Macaca mulatta: one gene and its partner. The main gene of each other region encodes a partner of the protein of the gene in region 2 in a complex. Links are inferred from orthologs where the notes say so. Each region holds a gene or a part of one and is shown on either strand. Other genes may lie near its edges.

Evidence for each region. Proteins that work in one complex are often made in the same cells at the same time.
Region 1: the proteins of KIFBP (region 2) and KIF15 are in contact, whole or in part, in a cryo-EM structure (PDB 6ZPH), measured with the Homo sapiens proteins. The link is inferred for Macaca mulatta from reciprocal best matches to the Homo sapiens genes KIFBP and KIF15. Residues at the interface, in NP_056449.1 of Homo sapiens: Lys26, Tyr33, Lys36, Ile106, Glu109, Ile147, Ser150, Glu151, Glu153, Thr208, His209, Tyr212, Tyr213, Gln216, Gln219, His220, Phe224, Gln238, Glu248, Trp249, Ile251, Asn252, Thr255, Gln258, Phe259, Asn262, Tyr415, Val416, Thr417, Glu421; in NP_064627.1 of Homo sapiens: Leu187, Glu189, Ile191, Lys192, Lys193, Arg231, Glu232, Arg235, Arg271, Met280, Arg281, Leu282, Lys283, Glu284, Ala285, Gly286, Asn287, Asn289, Arg290, Leu292, Ser293, Gly296, Gln297, Ile299, Ala301, Val303, Asp304, Val305, Gly306, His312.

Annotation. Positions count from the first base shown.
Region 1 is NC_133407.1:108,089,003-108,099,316, reverse strand, and holds the start of KIF15 (kinesin-like protein KIF15), read right to left. Parts: upstream 6,494-10,314; 5' UTR 6,294-6,493; coding exon 6,275-6,293; intron 1-6,274. Other genes in the region: uncharacterized protein KIAA1143 homolog, read left to right, coding at 6,551-6,658. UniProt on the Homo sapiens protein: Plus-end directed kinesin-like motor enzyme involved in mitotic spindle assembly.
Region 2 is NC_133414.1:80,619,376-80,629,589, forward strand, and holds part of KIFBP (KIF-binding protein), read right to left. Parts: intron 9,010-10,214; coding exon 8,925-9,009; intron 6,334-8,924; coding exon 6,218-6,333; intron 5,507-6,217; coding exon 5,405-5,506; intron 1,026-5,404; coding exon 150-1,025; 3' UTR 1-149. UniProt on the Homo sapiens protein: Activator of KIF1B plus-end-directed microtubule motor activity. Required for organization of axonal microtubules, and axonal outgrowth and maintenance during peripheral and central nervous system development.

The DNA of each region.
Region 1 (10,314 bases), on a different chromosome or scaffold from region 2:
CCCCTGTTAACATGTGGGAAAGTCGCTTTGACATCCATGGGTGGCACCCTGTGATGGTCACCGGGTCTTGGGGATATAAGGACAAAAGAAATAAAAAGGGACACCTCGCTTTCTCCCTCCCTCACCTACCCTGGGTATTCGCTAGGAAGAGAAAGGAACCAGGGACACCTGCTCCCCTCTTTCTTGATGGATAGCCATTCATCTTCAATCTGTCCCCTTTTTGAATGCATCCTGAACCCCTGGGACTCCTTTGAAAAAAAACCTTCTTTTTTCCATTTCCTATTGTGTCCTCTCTTCACAGATAGGTAATTGTGTCTCCTTACTACAGGACACTCCCTTCGAATCCATCCTCTAAACTGTGAAAAGTTAATTTCCCAAACCTTAAACTTGAGATTGGTTTAGGATTGGGCTTGGGGGAAGGGAACCCAGAAGACTGACATGCCGGCAAAAGGGTAAAAGTTTTTTTTAACCAGTCGGGCTTTTGGCCTCCCTCACCCTGTGCAAACCAGTAAAAGGCCTCAGGATTTTCAAGCTGTTCTTCCCCCGTCCTTGTTTTGTTTTGATACATGTTTTCTAATAACCCAGCTTGTCTCTTCTTGCCTTCAGGCTATCAAACTCCAGTCACGCAACTGGAGCCTCAGATAATGGTCCCTTTTGCCAGGAACCCTTAGACCAGCTTCTTAGGGAGATCTGACTGCCATTTTCCCAACACAGCATCCCCTGTCAGCAGGAAACAGTTAAGATTGGTCTTTGTTCTTATCTTTATTCTAAGGGCAGTTAGATGTACTCTTTAGAAGGGGGAATGATAAGAGACAGGAGACAGCCAAACGCTTCCCAGGTCATTGAAAAATTCTGTCCCAAAACTAGCCGGGCGAGGTGGCAGGCGCCTGTAGTCCCAGCTACTCAGGAGGCTGAGACAGGAGAATGGCCCGAACCCGGGAGGTGGAGCTTGCAGTGAGCTGAGATCCGGCCACTGCACTCCAGCCTGGGCGACAGAGCAAGACTCCGTCTCAAAAAAAAAAAAAAGAAAAGAAAAATTCTGTCCCTTAACACACACACAGTAAGGAAAATAAATCAATGTGGAGTGGCTCAGACTAAAGGCCCACATGCGCACTCAGAGAATGGGGTGGAGCCACTGGGAATTTGCACCTTATGCAGGGGGAGAAGCCTGGCCTCTTCAGCTGGTGTGTGGTGACCTGGTATTCAATCTGTGAGGTGGCAGCTTGTTGGCAGGACACACTTTTTTTCACTGAGAGCTTCCTTTTAATAAATTCCACTCTCCTTATCTTTCAATGTGTCCGCGTGCCTGATTTTTCCTGGGCATGCAACAAGAACCTGGATTTTAGCTGAGCTAAGGAGCAAAATATCCTGCATCAATGGTTCTTTTTTTTTTTTTTTTGAGCCAGAGTCTCGCTCTGTCACCAGAGTCACCATGCCTGGCCTGTTTTTAAATGCTAGGTATAAATTGATGATTCACAAATTTAAATCTTCTTCCTGGACTGCTCTCCTGAGCTCCACACTCTTACAACTTATTACCTATTTGATATCTCTAACTAGATATGCAGTGGGCAATGAATCAAATTTAATGTGTACAAAACTGAGCGCCTGAATACCCCACCTCTACCCCAAATGTGTTTCTATATCTCCGTAAACTCCATCTTTCCAGTTGCTTAGGCCAAAAACCATATAGTCATCCCTGACCCTGTTCTTCTCACTCTTCATATCCAATCTCAGCAAAGCTTTGGCTCTAATTTCAAAATATACCCACAGTCCAACAGCTTCTTGCCAAATCCACTGCCACAGTGTAGAACCAAGCCAGCAACATCTCTTTATTGTGTTATTACAACAGTCTCTCTGCTTCTCTTTCTCCCCCACTCCCATCTTTTCTCAACCTAGCAGGCAGAATAATTCTGTTAAAAAAGAAGTCAGAGATTGACTTCTGACTGACGTTATAAGGAACTCCACTGACCCACTCCCCAGTGAAACTTAAAAAAAAAAGAAATTTTAAAAAAGAATATTGGCGGGGCGCAGTGGCTCACACCTGTAATGCCAGCACTTTGGGAGGCTGAGGCGGGCGGATCACAAGGTCAGGAGATTGAGACCATCCTGGCTAACATGGTGAAATCCCATCTCTACTAAAAACACAAAAAATTAGCCAGGCATGGTGGTAGGCACCTGTAGTCCCAGCTACCCAGGAGACTGAGGCAGGAGAATGGCATGAACCCAGGAGGCAGAGCTTGCAGTGAGCCGAGATCACACCACTGCACTCCAGCCTGGGCGACCGAGTGAGACTCCATCTCAAAAAACAAAAAAAAGAAAAGAAAATTAAAGCCTCTGGAAATGTTCCCAAAGGCAAACAGCAAACAAAGAAACATCCGTTCAAGAACATTTATGAAAATTCATCAAGAAAGGTGGTCCTGTGTTATTTGAACCAAGATTGCTCTCTTCCTCCCATCTGAGCAAGGCAAACACTCCACTGTCGATTGCAGCAGCCAAGAACACAGGGATCCCCCTCCAGCTCCTAACTGCAAGGGTGTCTTCCACAGAGTAGCAGGATGTCAGTGTATCATTGTGTCTCCAGCTAGCTACCTGATGCTGAGGTAAAGTCCTAGACAAGTGTGGTTGAGAGGTGAGGGCTCTCCCTTCTCCCACCCAGCCCTCATCTTGCAACTGCATGCTGAGAACACTGGGGCCCTGATCACCCTTGTCCCAACTCATTAGGCAGTGGTTCCACACAAGGCTGCTGCACTCCCCACCCTCCCCACAAAATGCTCGGCAACTAGAAAGGGTATCACTCAGAGACAAGACTGCCATTATCCCTATCCCCAACTATAGTGCCCAGGCTCAGAGATTTTGCCTAGACGAAGAATCAGCCCATAAACAGATAACTCCTATTCTCTTCCCAAATGAGCTGAATTCATTTGCAACAGAGCATAGAGAAGTTCAAACCTGGCCCGGCGCGGTGGCTCAAGCCTGTAATCCCAGCACTTTGGGAGGCCCAGACGGGCGGATCACGAGTTCAGGAGATCGAGACCATCCTGGCTAACACAGTGAAACCCCGTCTCTACTAAAAAATACAAAAAAACTAGCCGGGCGAGGTGGCGGGCGCCTGTAGTCCCAGCTACTCGGGAGGCTGAGGCAGGAGAATGGCGTAAATCCGGGAGGCGGAGCTTGCAGTGAGCCGAGATCCGGCCACTGCACTCCAGCCTGGGCGACAGAGCGAGACTCTGTCTCAAAAAAAAAAAAAAAAAAAAAAAAAGAGAAGTTCAAACCTGGCTAGGTGTGGTAGCTCATGCCTGTAATCCCAGCACTTTGGGAGGCCCAGGCAGGCGGATCATTTGAGGTCAGGAGTTCGAGACCAGCCTGACCAACATAGCGAAACCCCATCTCTGTACTAAAAATACAAAACAAAAATTAGCTGGGCATGGTGGCACGTCTGTAATCTCAGCTACTTGGGAGGCTGAGGCAGGAGAATCGCTTGAATTCAGGAGGTGGAGGTTGCAGTGAGCCGAGACCACGCCACTGCCGTACAGCCTAGGTGACAGAGCAAGACTCGGTCTTGGGGTGGGGTGTGGGGGAAAGAAGTTCAAACCTAAGGGCACTCTCAGGAACAGTGTAGGTTTTAGTGAAAGTAATTAGGAAGACATTCAAGATACAAGCTAAATTGTAGGCCTGTTCGCTTGCCAGAAGACAATGGGGATATAAGATCAACTAGGAGTAGCTACAGTGGAGTCAGAAGAAATACGAAAGACAACCTCAGAAACTACTCCTTCAATGGAGCAAGAACTGAAGTAGTTTGTAAGACAATTTATGCCCCAGGACATTGTTAAAAAACAATAGAGCAATCAGCTAACAATTACTGGAGTTTCACAGCTGTGTGCAGTCATGGAAAGAAAGAGATCCCTACCAAAACCACTGTGATCCCAGGATACAGGTGGGCATATCCAAAGCTGTGCTTTCCTGAGGAGCAACATCAAAGGCTTAACAGTATAGGAGGGAAATAGACTTCACTAAATTGATCCAGCCAGTTGCTAAGCAAATACACAATCAAACAACAACAAGAAGCCCCAGAAGGTAGGCTGCCAGCTCTTCATCTCTGCAGAGATCTGTGTAACTGATCAGATGGAAACTAAATAGATGGATACTGATCTGCGCTTATGTGAAACTTCCTGGTAAATCTAAAAGGAACCCAAAGTAAAATGTTTACTTAATAAAAAAAGAAGCAAAGTTAATGAGCAAATAGCGAGATAAAGTGAAATTTAAAACTACACAAATGTAGATAGTTCTGGCATTATTTCTAATTGAGATCTAAGGAACCATCACTGAGAAGTGCTAGGATTTGAACAAAGGCATGCTAAATCCAGATCTCCTACTCTGAGGCTGAGGCACAAGCACTGCTTGAACCCAGGAGGCAGAGACTGCAGTGAGCCAAGATTGTGCCAGTGCACTCCAGCCTGGGTGACAGAGCAACACTGTCTTTAAAAAAAAAAAAAAAGAAAAAAAAAAGGGAATTGTATATTTCACTTTTTCATTTCTCTGATTTACAGTCAGCAACTCATGGTGTCAATGTCACTAGAGATAGCCTTCATGGGGCCGGGTATGGTGGCTCACACCTGTAATCCCAAAACTTTGGGAGGCCAAGGTGGGCAAATCATGAGGTCAGGAGATCAAGACCATCCTGGCCAACATGGTGAAACCCCAGCTCTACTAAAAATAAAAAAATTAGCTGGGCGTGGTGGCCCGTGCCTGTAATCCCAGCTACTCGGGAGGCTGAGGCAGGAGAATCTCTTGAACCCCGGAGGTGGAGGTTGCAGTGAGACGATATTGCACCACTGCACTCCAACCTGGTGACACAGCAAGACTCTGTCTCAAAAAAAAAAAGCCTTCAGGGCACAAAGTAAAAGTTGTAAAGACCACTGCATGGGCTCTCTTCTCCCATGTGTTCCCACTTCATGCTCCAGGTCTCTGGGCTGCTGGGAAAGCAAGAAGCACTTTACCTGGGAAGTCATCAACCTCAATTTTGCCAACAAACTTAAGGGAGTGGAAAAGTTCCCCATGGCATCACCACCATCATAAAGGGAAGTGCTCCCACCACTTTAAGAAAGGCTCTCAAATTTGGTTTTCTTCTGAGCCCTTAGTCACATACATATATCTCATTAAATAAGCAGATACTTTACTTATTTAACAGGCATCAATTTTTTTGGCTTGAGTCCAGATCCATAAGGTGGAAACAAAGAACAAACAGTATGATTGTTCAGAAAGCAGGATGAACATTTCTCTCCAATAAGGTACCATTTTGTGAGCTCATAGTCCTTGAATACTGAAAATGATGAAGGAAAAGGAATATTTTAGATGGAAAAAGGTAGCATAAAGAGGTGTTCCAATAAAAGTGCGATCGACCTAAAAGGTTACTGAAACAACAAACCCATCAAAAACAACTATAATTGACAGAAAGCTAGAAACATTAACGCTGTTGGAAAGCTCAAATGACAGAAGTTCACAAATTCTTAATCATCTGATCTAGGCCTCTCCTTATTACCATTCAGACCACTCACAAAGATCCCATTAAATCAGCTCATAATCAGGTTCACAAAAACAAGACTCCTTAAGAGATGTGGCAATGTAAGAAGTGGCGCACGTACACAGGCACAGCAAAAGACTACATTAGTGAAAACTGTAGGGTTTATCATAAGCAAAAATGACAGTGCTCTCCTCCGTGAAAAAGAGAAAGAAATCGGACGGGTCTCCTTTAAGTGAAAATAGAGACTGTGACAACACAGACATTGCTGACATCTGTGTTTTAACATTCCATTTACTTAAGGGAAAAAGAGAAAGAAGTGTTTGGAATATAAATAAACCCTTCCCTATAGGAAGGTCAGAAATGTGGAAATACGCAGACGCTGGTGGGAGCAAAAGCCGATCCTGAAACAAGGATATCTAGAGAGGTAGCCCTGGTCGGGATGTGGGAAGAGGCCTGCGAAGAAACAGCAGAACCGAGGGAAAGAAAGGGAAGAACGGCAGGTCCACTGCTCATCCCGAGCGCCTACAACTGCGCCAGACTCCTAGCATGCGCACAGGACACGGAAGGGATGACCTTTTCGGCTAGCGTATTGTCTTTGAGCGACAGAGAGGGATTCCCAAACGCCCCCGCCCGTCACTCAGCTCCTGCAGTTCATGCCCAGCAAGAACCTTGCCGGCGGTCCGAGGTTGCCATCCTTTCACAGCTGTATTTGGGGGCAAAGATAGGGTAACGAAGTCTGGGGTCCAGACTTACTTTTGCAGCCGGGTGCCATAGCGCCCTCACCCCTCGATCCCGGGAACAATGCAGCCGACGCCTCCACCTCCCGACTGCGCCGCGCGCGACTGAATTCCTCCCGCTCAAGATGGCCGCGAATTTGAATTTGGCGCTTGTATCCGACGTTGACGCCCGAATGGAGGCCGCCATGTTGCCCGGTCTACGCATCAGGGGCGTGGTCCAGTTGACGTCACAGCTAAGCGCCTCTGTATCGTCGCGAATCGGTCGCGGAACCTGTCTTTACCTAGAGCTACCATGAGCAAGCGGAACCAGGTATCGTACGTACGGCCAGCCGAGCCAGCGTTTCTGGCCCGCTTCAAGGAACGGGTCGGCTACAGGGAGGGACCCACCATAGAGACTAAGGTGAGCCCTCACCAGTCGTGTTACTTCGGAAGCGCGGCCAGCCTGCCACTTTCAACTTTTGCCTTTACTTGGAGGGTGGGTGCTGTCGGGTCCCTCTTTTCACCCGCGCTCGGCACCAATTCCGGTGGAACTCGGACCCCCAGCCTGGTTCTTTTCAAGCGACTACAGCCCCCTACGCCCAGAAAGCTCTGTAGGTTTCAGAGCGCTGCTGTTTTCCTAAAAATGACCTTACATGTAAACCGCCTGGTCCTTGGTAGATGGTAAAGAAAGATCACTTTCTTGTCTCTTCTTTCTCTCTTGTTTACCTCAAAAGCTGTGAGTTCGCAGGGTGAGTTAGAGTTACAGCGTCGTCCCATATTCCAGATAAGGACACAGGCCACTCGATCAAATGACCCCCGCCCGAACCGTGTCCTAGGACTCGAGTGTGGAACGTCTTCGGAGGAATGTCCTGAATCTGTTTCTATGCTTTGTTAAGTTAAAAAAAAAAAAATTAAAAAATATAGAGAGAAGGTCGGGCACAGTGGCTCACGCCTGTAATCCCAGCACTTTGGGGGGCCGAGGCAGTCGGATCGCGAGGTCAGGAGATCTAGACCATCCTAGCTAACACAGTGAAACCCCGTCTCTACCAAAAATATAAAAAATTACCTGGGCGTGGTGGCGGGCGCCTGTAGTCCCAGCTACTCAGGAGGCTGAGGCAGGAGAATGGTGTGAACGCGGGAGTCGGAGCTTGCAGTGAGCGGAGATCGCGCCACTGCACTCCAGCCCGGGCGACAGAGCAAGACTCCGTCTAAAAAAACAAACAAACAAAAAAAGTAGCCAAAAGCCCTAAATATCCTGGGTCTAAATAGAAGAAGAGGAGCTTCAGGAAAGAGCCACACCTGACTACTGTTGTTTAGGGCTGAAGGGATCAGTATTGAACACATGAATGACAAGAAAGCAAAACAGCTTAAGTTGCTGATACAGAGAAAGTTTTAGTGGTCTAGATAGAAGAGCAAACCAGCCACAACATTCCCTTTAACCAAAGTGTAATCTAGAGCAAGGTCCTAACTCTTTTCAATCCTATGAAGTCTGAGACATGTGAGAAAGCTGCAGAAGAAAAGAGTGAAGCTAACAGAGGTTGGTTCATGAGGTTTAAGAAAAGAAGCCATCTCCATAACATAAAAGTATGAGATGAAGAAGCAAATTATTCAGATCTAGCTAAGATAGTTGATGAAAATGGTTGCACTAAACAGGTTTTCAATGTAGATGAAACAGCCTTCTATTGGAAAAAGATGCCATCTAGGACTTTGTTTTTTTTGTTGGTGGTGGTTGTTTTTGAGACAGGGTCTCACTCTGTCACCCAGGCTAGAGTGCAGTGGTGCAATCACAGCTCACTGCAGCCTTGACCTCCTGGGCTCAAGTGATCCTCCTGCCTCAGTCTCCCAAGTAGCTGGGACTACAGGCACGCACCACCACTGGGTAATTTTTGTATTTTTTTATAGAGACAGGATCCCACTGTGTTGCCAAGGCTGGTCTCAAACTCCTGGACTCAAGCAATCCTCCCACTTTAGCCTCTCAAAGCCTCTCAAAAAACACTATGCCTGTCCCATTTAGGACTTTCATAGCTAGAGAGAAGTCAGTGACTGGCTTCAAATTTTCAAAGGACAGGTTAACACTCGTTAGGGGCTAATGCAGCTGGTGACTTTTAAGTTGAAGTTAATATTTACCATTCCAAAACTCCTAGGGTCCTTAAGAATTACACTAAATCTCATCTACCTGTGCTCTAGAAATGGAAAAACAAAACCTTGATGACAGCACATCTCTTTATAGTATGGTTTACTGAATTATTTTAAGCCCACTGTTGAGACCTACTGCTCAGAAAAAAAAGATTATTTCAATATATTACTGCTGATTGACAATACACCTGGTCACCCAAGAGCTCTGATGGAGATCTACAAGGAGATTAATGTGGTTTTCATGCTTGCTAACACAACATCCATTCTGCAGCCCATGGATCAAGGAGTAATTTCTATTTTCAGTCTTATTGTTTAAGAAATAACAGCCAGGCACAGTGGCTCACACTTGCAATCCCAGCACTTTGGGAAGTCAAGGCAGGTGGATTGCTTGAGCCCAGGAGTTCAAGACCAGCCTGGCCAACATGGTGAGACCCCATCTCTACAAAAAATACAAAATTTAGCCAAGTGTGGTGGCATGCACCTGTGGTCCCAGCTACTTGGGAGGCTGAGGTGGGAGGATCCCCTGACCCCAGGTAGGTTGAGGCTGCAGTCAGCCATGATCGCACCACTGCACTCCAGCCTGGGTAACCGAGCCAGACCCTGTCTCAAAACGAAACAAAACAAAACAAAAAGTCAAAACATTTGTAAGGCTACAGCTGCCATGGATAGTGATTCCTCTGATGCATCTGGATATTGTAAATTGAAAACTTTATGGAAAGGTTTCACCATTCTAGACACGTTAAGAACATCCATGATTCATGGGAAGAGGGCAAAATATCAGCATTAACAGGAATTTGGAAGAGGTTGATTCCAACCTTCATGGATGACTTTGAGAGGTTCAGGCCTTCAGTGGAGGAAGTAATTGCAGGTGTGGTAGAACAAGGAAAAGAACTAAAATTAGAAGTAGAGCCTGAAAATGTAATTAAGTTGTTGCAGTCTCATAAAAATTGAACACATGAGTTGCTTCTTATTGATGAGCAAAGAAAGTGGTTTATTGAAATGGAATCTACTTCTGGTGAAGATGCTGTGAACATTGTTGAAATGTCAACAAAGGATTTAGAGTAAACTTACTTGGTAAAGCAGCAGCAGGTTTAAGAGGACTGATTCCAATTTTGAAAGGAGTTCAGCTGTGGGTAAAATGCTATGAAACAGCATTGCAGCATCACAAAAGAGAAATCTTTTGTGAAAGGAAGACTCAATTAATGCAGCAAACTTCATCATTGTCTCATTTTAAAAAATTGCCACAGCCACCCCGCCTTTCAGCACCCACCACCCTCATCAGTCAACATCCATCAGCATCAAGGGCAGACCCTTCACTGGCAAAAAGATGAGGACTCACTGAAGGCTCAGATGAGCTTTAACGTTGTTAGCAATAAAGTATTTTTAAATTAAGGTGGGTACATCTTCCAAACTCCTGTTAATGTTAATATTTTGCCTTCTCCCATGAATCGTGGATGTTCTTAATGGGATCTAGATTTTTTTTAGACATAATGATACTGCATACTTAATACTAACTGTAGTTAGTGTATAGTGTAAACATAACTTTTATGTAAACTGGGAAACCAGAAAATTTGTGTGACAGTTTATTTTGATGCTTGCTTTGTTGTGGTGATCTGGAACCAAATCTGTGGTATCTTCAAGGTATGCCAGTAGGATGAGTATGTGCTAACCCCATGCACTGTGCCAGGCTCTGAAAGGATGAAGAGATGGATCTCCAAAATGCCATGTTCTTTAACACTTCCTGCCCTATTTTCACAGGTCACCATCTCTCCGAAACCCTTCAAAGCTCTCCAAACAGTTACTCTTTCTCTGTTTTTCTCTTTACCTTATCCATATCTTACCTATAACACTCATTTTATATTGCAACTACTTGCTTTCCTGTTTATCTTCACCACTAGATTGAACTCTTTAAGTTAGTATCTTAATCCTTCCATATTTTCC
Region 2 (10,214 bases):
GATCCTAGCAAACGCTCAGTTGACTGTATCTCAAGCTCAAACTGCACTCACCTGGCCGTAAAGGTAAATATCACAATGGAATTGGGCCTGTTTGACTAGGGAAAAAGATCACTTCAATATTGCACATTTCCTTTTTTTAAAAACAGGGATTAAGTCAGGGCCATCTTGGTTCTGAATCTCTCCATTTTTGTTGGGAGAAGACTAACCATCTCTTTACTAAGTTCTAGCTCAACTTCTATTTCTTGGGCAGCCTCAGGATGCTTTTCACAGTAATCAACAATAAATTTGTAATGTTCCAATGATGTTGCCAAATTTTCCAACTCTTTCTTGGGATCTGCAGTAATGATTTTACCATAGAGACGGGCAACTCGAAACTTAGCTAACATGGCAGGGCGAAGAACATCTTCCCCTATATGCTCAGGGAATACTTTATTTGGGTCTCTCAGGGAGTCTAAGAAGAGCTGGTAGTACTTCAACGCTGACTTATTAAGATTATTTATTTTTTTTACAATGTGTGAATCGGGATCCCTTAGCCTGTCAGCAATGGCAACCTTCAAATCCATCATATCATAGTAAGCATGTGCAATTTCAAACTGGATCTGTCTGTTGACCAACAGGTAATACTGTGGATTCAGGTCTACAGTTAGGGGCTCTAGCATGGCTATTCTGCGTTTATGCATCTTGCACCGTCTCTCCATGTCAGTTTCAAAGAATGCAAGCACCTTAAACAGAGCACTGTGGTCTTGGACAACTTCAATATGGTCAGTGACATAACCATCAATCTGAAAGAACTCTTTTGCCTCAAAGACATAGTGCTGACCCAATAAGAAAAGTTCTCTGGCTTCTTCAAAATCTAAAGGTCTCAAGTAGCTCACTTTCTCTTCTACTGCAGAGATGGCATCACACAGCTCACCGGTTCCAAACTGCACAGCTTTTTTCCGAATGCTTTCCTCCTCATCTAGTTCTTTTTTCCTTAAAGCTCTAAGTTCAGACTGTTTATCAAGATCAAGCTCTCCTATGTTGTCCTGAAGAAAAATAAATAAATTATGGTTAAGTAGGACACTCACCTCCTGCTGTTAAATAACATTAAAGCAAACTTCAGAGTTTTTTTAGAAAAGTCTCTTACTTTCCAGCCTGGTTTAGAAGGGTATCATAGTCTTAAACACCTTTGAGAACTTCTTTCTTTCTTCCAATTATATTAAAAACTCAAGAAATGTGAAAAAAAAAAAAAGTATTTAAATAGACAAGCTGCTTACATATCATTTATTCTGAGGAACTGAAATTCATTTACAGTTACTCCTTCCAATAAGATAAATGCTACCTGTAGAAGTACTTTGAGAATTGTGAAACATTATATACATGTGATACATTACTCCCAGCACTTTGGAAGGCCAAGGCGGGCGGATCACAAGGTCAGGAGTTCAAGACCAGCCTGGCCAACACAGTGAAACCCTGTCTCTACTAAAAATACAAAAATTAACTAGGCATGGTGGCAGGGGCCTGTAATCCCAGTCACTTGGGAGACTGAGGCAGGAGAATCGCTTGAACCCAGGAGGCGGAGGTTGCAGTGAGTGGAGATCGTGCCACTGCACTCCAGCCTGGGTGACAGTGCAAGACTCCATCTCAAGAAACAAACAAACAAACAAACAGACTGTAATCTACATCACAAAAATACTTCACAAGGATGCCATTAAAATTAATGCTACCATGTTTATGCTATTAGTTATTTAGTGAAATATATCAAAGAGAAATGCTCTAGGTCTCTTAAAGACATCAAAATGAACAAAGTTAAATCTACCTTCCTAGTTAAAGTTTTCTCCTCTACCTCTTGGGGGTGGGGAATAACTAAGAATAACTAAGGTAGTTAAGAAATAAGAGTAAGCTCTTCTTGGCCAATAAAATTAAATAACAGATCCCAAGTCCTTTTCTTCTTTTCTTTTCTTTCTTTTTTTTTTTTTTTGAGACGTAGTCTCGCTCTGTCGCCCAGGCTGGAGTGCAGTGGCCGGATCTCAGCTCACTGCAAGCTCCGCCTCCCGGGTTTATGCCATTCTCCTGCCTCAGCCTCCCGAGTAGCTGGGACTACAGGCGCCCGCCACCTCGCCCGGCTAGTTTTTTGTACTTTTTAGTAGAGACGGGGTTTCACCGTGTTAGCCAGGATGGTCTTGATCTCCTGACCTAGTGATCCGCCCGTCTCGGCCTCCCAAAGTGCTGGGATTACAGGCTTGAGCCACCGCGCCTGGCCCCTTTTCTTCTTTTCACTTGACACTGTCTCACTAGTGATCTCTCCACAAACCCTTCAAGGTTTCCAAATGCTCAGAAGATGAAGACAACAATGCTTCAAAGCCTTGATTGCTCCAGCCCCTTTCTAACTCTAACTTTACCTTATATCACACTCCCTCTCCCTCAGCTCCAACCTCACAGCCTTTGCTCCATCCCTTCTGATATCATCCTCCCTTACGCCACAGAACTTCTAAACATGCTGCTTCAGCTCCTTGGCATGGTGTGCCTTCTTTTCTTCAGGCTAGGTAACTCCTACTTACTCATCCCCAGAGCTTGCTTGTTATTTCCTCCTATTGTGCCTTCTCATATCATGTGTCTCTCCTTTGTGGAACTTAGCAAAATTGTACTTTTACATGAAGTCAAAGGCTAGGTTCATTTTTGTCCATCATAGTATCCTTGGCCAATGACTAGCACAGGTTTGGCATAAATACTTAATTGAATAAATATGTGTATGTCTTAAAGCTTGAGCTGGGCTGGGCGCGGTGGGTCACGCCTGTAATCCCAGCACTTTGAGAGGCCGAGGTGGGCGGATCAAAAGGTCAGGAGATCGAGACCATCCTGGCTAACACGGTGAAACCCCATCTCTACTAAAAATACAAAAAAGATTAGCCGGGTGTGGTGGCGGGAGCCTGTAGTCCCAGCTAATCGGGAGGTTGAGGCAGAAGAATGGTGTGAACCTGGGAGGCGGAGTTTGCAGTGAGCCGAGATCGCGCCACTGCGCATCGCGCCACTGCGCTGCACTCCAGCCTGGGTGACAGAGCGAGACTCCGTCTTAAAAAAAAAAAAAAGCTTGAACTGAAGAAGGTCTTTCAGATAAATACACAGATGATACAGGATGAAGTTACGGTTAAAAAAGAAAGTCAGGGCCGAGCGCAGTGGCTCACACCTGTAATCCTAGCACTTTGGGAGGCTGACATGGGTGGATTGCTTGAGCTCAAGAGTTCAAGACCAGCCTGGGCAACATGGTAAAACATCGTCCTAACAAAAATGCAAAGAATTAGCCGGGCACAGTGGCACACACCTGTGGTCCCAGTTACGTGGCAGGCTGATGTGGGAGGACCGCTTGAGCTGGGGAGGTGGAGGATGTAGTGAGTGGAGATCATGCCACTGCACACCAGCCTGGGTGACAGAAACCCCATCTCAAAAAACAAAATTGGGTTTAAGGAAAATCTGAGTAATTTAGTAGCATGGCAAATATGTGAGTTTAAACTAACCAAGTGATGAAGTTCTAAGTTCCCAGACTAGAAACATCAACTGAATGAAAGGTAAGGGTCAAATCATAGTGCATTATGCTTGACACAATTACTTCAAACATAGATCATAAGTCTCTAAATCTTGTATACTTCCTTCCTTCCTGGGCTGCTTGTTTATCTACATGTTCTCTCTAGGATGCTTTCTTAAATTAGCCTACTGTTTTGCTCCAATAGCCCCTGCAACCCTCCTTTTCCAGCTTTCCTTACCTGACCAGAAGAAACTTGACAGCTCTTCCTGGCTCCAAATTCTCTAGACATAAAGCCCATAGTTCTTCTCCCTACTTCCTGTCTTTCCTTAATATGCCTCCTCTTTACCCTCTAACCTCTAAAATGATCTTTATCTCTTCAAGATCTATGCTTCTGATGTGTTGAGGTTTGTTTAGTTTTCTTTCGTTTAGTAGTTTCACAAGGTTCTACATTATTTACCACTGATACAGTATGGATTTGTGTCCCCGGCCAAATCTCACGTCAGACTGGAGGAGGGACCTGGTGGGAAGTGACTGGATCATTGGGGGCAGATTTCCTGCTTGCTGTTCTTGTGGTAGTGAGTGAGCTCTCTCACGAGATCTGATGGTTTTGAAGTGTGTAGCATATCCCCCTTTGCTCTCTCTCTCTCCTGCTCTGCCACAGTAAGACACGCTTGCTTCCCTTTCACCTTCTGCCATGACTCTAAGTTTCCTGAGGCCTCCCAGTCATGCTTCCTGTTAAGCCTGAGGAACTGTAAGTCAATTAACCTCTTTTCTTCATAAATTACCCAGTCTCAGGTGGTTCTTTTTCTGTTTTTTTTTTTTTGAGACAGGGTCTCACTCTGTTACCCAGGCTGGAGCACAGTGGTGCAATGTTGGCTCACTGCAACCTCTGCCTCCTGCGCTCAAGTGATTCTCCTGCCTCAGCCTCCCCAGTAGCTGGGACTACAGGTGCACACCACCATGCTTGGCTAATTTTTTGTATTTTTGGTAGAGACAGGGTTTCAACATGTTGTCCAGGCTGGTCTCAAACTCATGAGCTCAAGTGATCCACCCACCTTGGCCTCCCAAAGTGCTGGGATTATAGGCATGAGGCGCTGCACCTAGCCTCAAGTAATTCTTTATAGCAGTGTGAGAATGGACTAATACAACCACTAAAGATTATTATACTTTCATCAAGCAGAGTCCCATGTAAAAAAAAAAAAAATTAGCATACTTTAATACACACATATAAAAAAACAAAAGCACAATGACTCCCCCAGGAAAGCTTCTATGTATCTACAATTAGTATATTGCATCTAAATGATTAATTTTATTATCCTCCCTAGTGGTTAGAAACTAGGATTGGGTATAAATTAATAATGATGATGGTAGTTAACATTTATTAAGGACTTAGTATGTCTCAGGCACTTTTCTGAGGCCTTAATATATACTGATTTAACTCTAATAACAACAGTATTAAGTACTATTATCTCCAACTTATTTGTGAGGAAATACAGGCAAAAATATATTAAGTAAATTGCCACAAAGACATAGCTACGAAGCAGCAGAGCTGGAGTTCATACCTACCTAGTGTGTTTCCAGAGCCCATGCTCTTCACTGCCATCACTTCTGCTTCTATTTTTGAACTATTACATGAGCTATTTCTTAAAAGTCTACCCTTTTAGATTTTATCAAGTCCATGCTGTGTGTAAGATAACACTGAGAAGTATATAAAGATTAGTAAGGCCTTGGCCAGGTGTGGTGGCTCACACCTGTAATCCCAGCACTCTGGGAGGCCGAGATGGGTGGATCACTTGAGATCAGGAGTTCGAGACCAGCTTGGCCAACATGGTGAGACTCCGTCTCTACTAAAAAGTCAAAAATTAGCCAGGCATGGTGGCAGGCACCTGTAATCCCAGCTACCTGGGAGGCTGAGGCAGGAGAATCCTTTGAACCTGGGATGCAGAGGTTGCAGCTGCGATCACACCACTGTACTCCAGCACTCCAGCCTGGGCAAAACTCCGTCTCAAAAAAAAAAAAAGATTAGTTAGGCCAGGCACAGTGGCTCACACCTGTAATCCCAGCACTTTGGGAGGCAAAGGCGGGAGGATCACTTGAACCCAAGAGTTCAAGACCAGCCTTGGCAACATAATGAGAGCCAGTATCTACAAAATAACTTAAAAATTAACTGGACATGGTGGCACATGCCTGTACTCCCAGGATGAGGTGGGATGATTGTGTGAGCTGGGGAGATCAAGGTTGCAGTGACCCATGACCATATCACCACACGCCAGCCTGGGCAACACAGCGAGAGCCTGTCTTTAAAAAAAAAAAAAAAAAAAAAGAATATGACATAGTTCCCAGCTCTCAAGAAGCTTATAGTCTAACCAAAGAGAAGTCTTCAAGGAAGATGTAGTATTTAAGATAGGCCTTGAATGATAAGTAAGATTTTATTTATTTATTTATTTATTTATTTATTTATTTGAGATGGAGTCTTGCTCTGTTGCCCAGGCTGGAATGCAGTGGTCCACTCTTGGCTCACTGCAGCCTCTGCCTCCTGGATTCAATCAATTTGATGAGTACGATTTAAAACCAAGAAAGAAATATTTATGAAAACATTCTACACGCCTTTCATATTAAACACAATGTGACCCCAATGAGCACAGTCCCCACTATGAGTTTTTACTTACAATGTCCTCATTTAAGAAACAAAAAGGCAACTTCCGACTGCATTACCTGCATGGAGAGTTGGGCATTCTGCATGAGAGTCAAACAGTATTTGATCCAGCACCTTGCTATTTCCCCCTTTCTTTGATGATAAAGCTCTGGCACCTCTCCTTCAGCTTCAGGAGCTAAAATATACATGTGATTTGTTTAAATTAATGGTCACAACTGTAATTTTCACTGGGTACTGTAATTTTTTTATATCACTTTTTCCTGACTACAAAAGTAACAGATCTTTACTGAAGCAGGGGGCTCGGGGAAAAGGGAAGAAAGATCCACTCCAAATCCTACTATCCAGAAGCACTCACTATTATTTTTGCATATTTCTTTCTCATACCACAAACACTTTACTCATATCATTATCAACTCTTAGCTTCATTTTTAAGTACACCATTATATACAATTAAATAGATATTCCATTATTTAGCCATTCTTCCAATTCGAACCTGGAATTTGTTGTTTCCATTTCTGTACTATCACAAAAACCTCTATGTCACACAACACATGGTTGTGGAGAACCTGGTGCTAAACTATTCAGATGACCTGCTTCTGGGTCAGAGTGTCATACACAGCAGGGCAGCTTTCTTGCTGCAATCTACTGAAAGTCAGCCCTCAACACAAAGGTTTAGAAAGTTTATACACACACACACATATTTTTACACTCGAAACATGAATATATTTGTGCAAAAATCTGCCTGGATTTTGGATTACTTCCTTAGGGCAGGTTCCTAGAAGTGGAATTTACTGAGTAGAAGAGTTTACACAATTTTAAGTAATTCACAACATATAGCCAAATTATTTTCAACAAATACGCCAACCAACAATATACGAGAATGCTCAATAAGAACATTTTGAAAACACTGGACACTGTCATTTTTTCAGCTATTTTGAAGAGTAAAAAAATAATATCTCACGGTATTATTTTAAATAAAGTATAGTATTAAATAATATCTCGGCAATTTAGTTTTTGTTCATTTTTTAAGACAAGTGCCTCTTAGACTTCAACTAATCTATAATTAATTCAATGTAGCTAATATATATTAGGGGAGAAAGCAACTATTTACTTTGATAATGTGCATTCCTTTAACTCTTAAGAGTCTCTGCACTTTTCAGATCCACAATTAGAATGTCCATTTGTAAGGAAGACATGATGTTTCAAAATCTAAAACATCGTAAGAAGGTTGGAAACTGTTCAACTGTGAGTTATAGAATCAAACTATTTTTCAAAATAAACTATTTTTAAAGAAAATGAGGCCGGGCGCAGTGGCTCAAGCCTGTAATCCCAGCACTTTGGGAGGCCGAGACGGGCGGATCACGAGGTCAGGAGATCGAGACCATCCTGGCTAATACGGTGAAACCCCGTCTCTACTAAAAATACAAAAAACTAGCCGGGCGAGGTGGCGGGCGCCTGTGGTCCCAGCTACTAGGGAAGCTGAGGCAGGAGAATGGCGGGAACCCGGGAGGCGGAGCTTGCAGTGAGCTGAGGTCCGGCCACTGAACTCCAGCCCGGCGACAGAGCGAGACTCCGTCTCAAAAAAAAAAAAAAAAAAAAAAAAAAGATGAACTTACTACAAAACCTGTTAAATGGCTCAAAGATACACGTTAACTATGATTTTCTAAGACAAAATGAAACATTATACTTAAAAAGATGGATATTTGGCTACATCGTTTATGCATGTAGTATTCCAACCAAAAATATATCATGTGAATGGTGGCGTAAGGAAACATCACACAAACCCCAGTTGGCAGTAATTCTCTGAAATAACTGGCCTATATTCTTCAAAAATGTTAAGTGATGAAAGGGAAAGAAAGGCTGAGGAACAATTCTGGATGAAAAATGCCTAGAGATGTGACAACTGAATGCAATATGCAATCTTGAACTGTATAATCCAGTACTGGCAAACAAATGCTAGAAGGAATATTATGGCAACAACTGATGAAACAGAAATATGCAGTGTAGACAAAAGAATTGTATCAATGTTACTTTTGTTTTTTTTTTTTTTTTTTTGAGAGGGAGTCTGGCTCTGTTGCCCAGGCTGGAGTGCAGTGGCTGGATCTCAGCTCACTGCAAGCCCCGCCTCCCGGGTTCACGCCATTCTCCTGCCTCAGCCTCCCGAGTAGCTGGGACTACAGGCGCCCGCCACCTCGCCCGGCTAATTTTTTTTGTATTTTAGTAGAGACGGGGTTTCACCGTGTTAGCCAGGATGGTCTCGATCTCCTGACCTCGTGATCCGCCCGTCTCGGCCTCCCAAAGTGCTGGGATTACAGGCTTGAGCCACCGCGCCCGGCCTGTTTTTTTAATTTCTTTAAAAACATAGAGGTAGGGTCTCACTATGTTGATCAGGCTGGTCTTGAACTCCTGGCCCCTCCCATCTTGGCCTCCCAAAATCTAGCATTACAGGCGTGGGCCATCATGCCTAGCCAATGTTACATTTCTTGAATTTGATAAATGATCTATGATTATGTAAGAAGATATTCTTCTTAGGAAATATATATTGAAGTATGAAAGGGTAAAGGAGCCTAATGTATGTAACCTCTCTAGTGGTTCAGAGAGAAAAATAAAATTTGATTCCAAGCGAAGAAAATACTAAAAATTGGTGCATTTAGGAGAAGGGCATATGATAGCTCTTCTGATCTTGCAACTTTTCAAAAGTTTAAAATAATTTCAAAATAAAATACTTTTTTAAAAGCTATGTAAAACATGCAAAGGTAAACTTACTGTCTTCTGTGGCTGAGATCTTTCCAGTTTGACCAAAAATGACATTAGCAGCTGATAAACAGTGCCTGGCCTCCATAAAGCATAGCTATTGGGGAAATAAACAACAGTGAATGTGACTATCATACAGCTTTATTTGCAACTGATACTTGCATAATTTCTTTTAATATGGGAAAAGGTATAAAATCAGATAAAAATACTACAAAGGAGGCCCTATAGAGTTGCAGATCGTTCAGAAGGTATAAAAGATATATTATCATATTATCTGGTTAAAATGTAACCTCAATGGTTAAAATATTAATGCCCCCAAACTCTTAATAATAATCCACTTGGGTTGAAAGACAACTGCCAATTGAAAGTTAGCTCTCCTTATTTAATCAATAGATATACAGGAATGGCTGTCATCCTAGACTTAAACTGTCTCAAAAAGCCCTTTAGGTTCAGTCTAAATAGCCAAACTCCCACGCACAATAAATTCTTAGACTATTTACATTGTGTCAGGACTGAATTTTTTTTTTCCTTACGAGATAGGGGTCTCACTCTAGCCCAAGGCTGGAGTGCAGTGGCACAATCATAGTTCGCTGCAGCCTCAACCTCCTGGGCGTAAGGGATCCTCCCACCTTTAGCTTCCTGAGTAGCTGGACTATAGGCACATGCCACCAAGCCTAATTCTGGGGTTCCTCTATGTTGCCTAGACAAGTCTCCAACTCCTGGCCTCAAGCAATGCTCCCACCTTGGCCTCCCAGAGTGCTGGGGTTATAAATGTAAGCCACCTTGCCCAGTCTGAAGATTTAATTTTTATTAGGTTTATAGAGCCCTTTTACATCCTACTATACACAGGCAATTAGGATAAATTTGGATAAGGAGAGACTTCTGTGTTCTAAAATCTTTGAAATTTACATACAATAAGGCTTCCCACCAAATTTTGAAGTCAACAGATTTCTACAGATGAACTTTATGGAACTGCTTTACCAACACTCTTAAAGACTTCATAATTCAATTCTGGGCATGGCAAACTTCTCAAACAATTAGAGAAGATCTCCTTATTAATAGAAACATTTTGTATTTGTCATGTAAGTCAAAGGACCACCCAGCAGAAGTTCAAAGTTAAAGTCCAACTTTTAGTTGGAAGCCACCCTCATTAAATAGAATGTCTACTTAATTATAGTAATACCTGAAAGGCTTTAAATGGTTGGCTATAACTTTAAAATCGCAGCATTACATGTATCTTTCCATTATGGCAAATTCAGAAGCCATCTTGAGAATAGCTGGGCATGTCAAGTATTGGCCCAG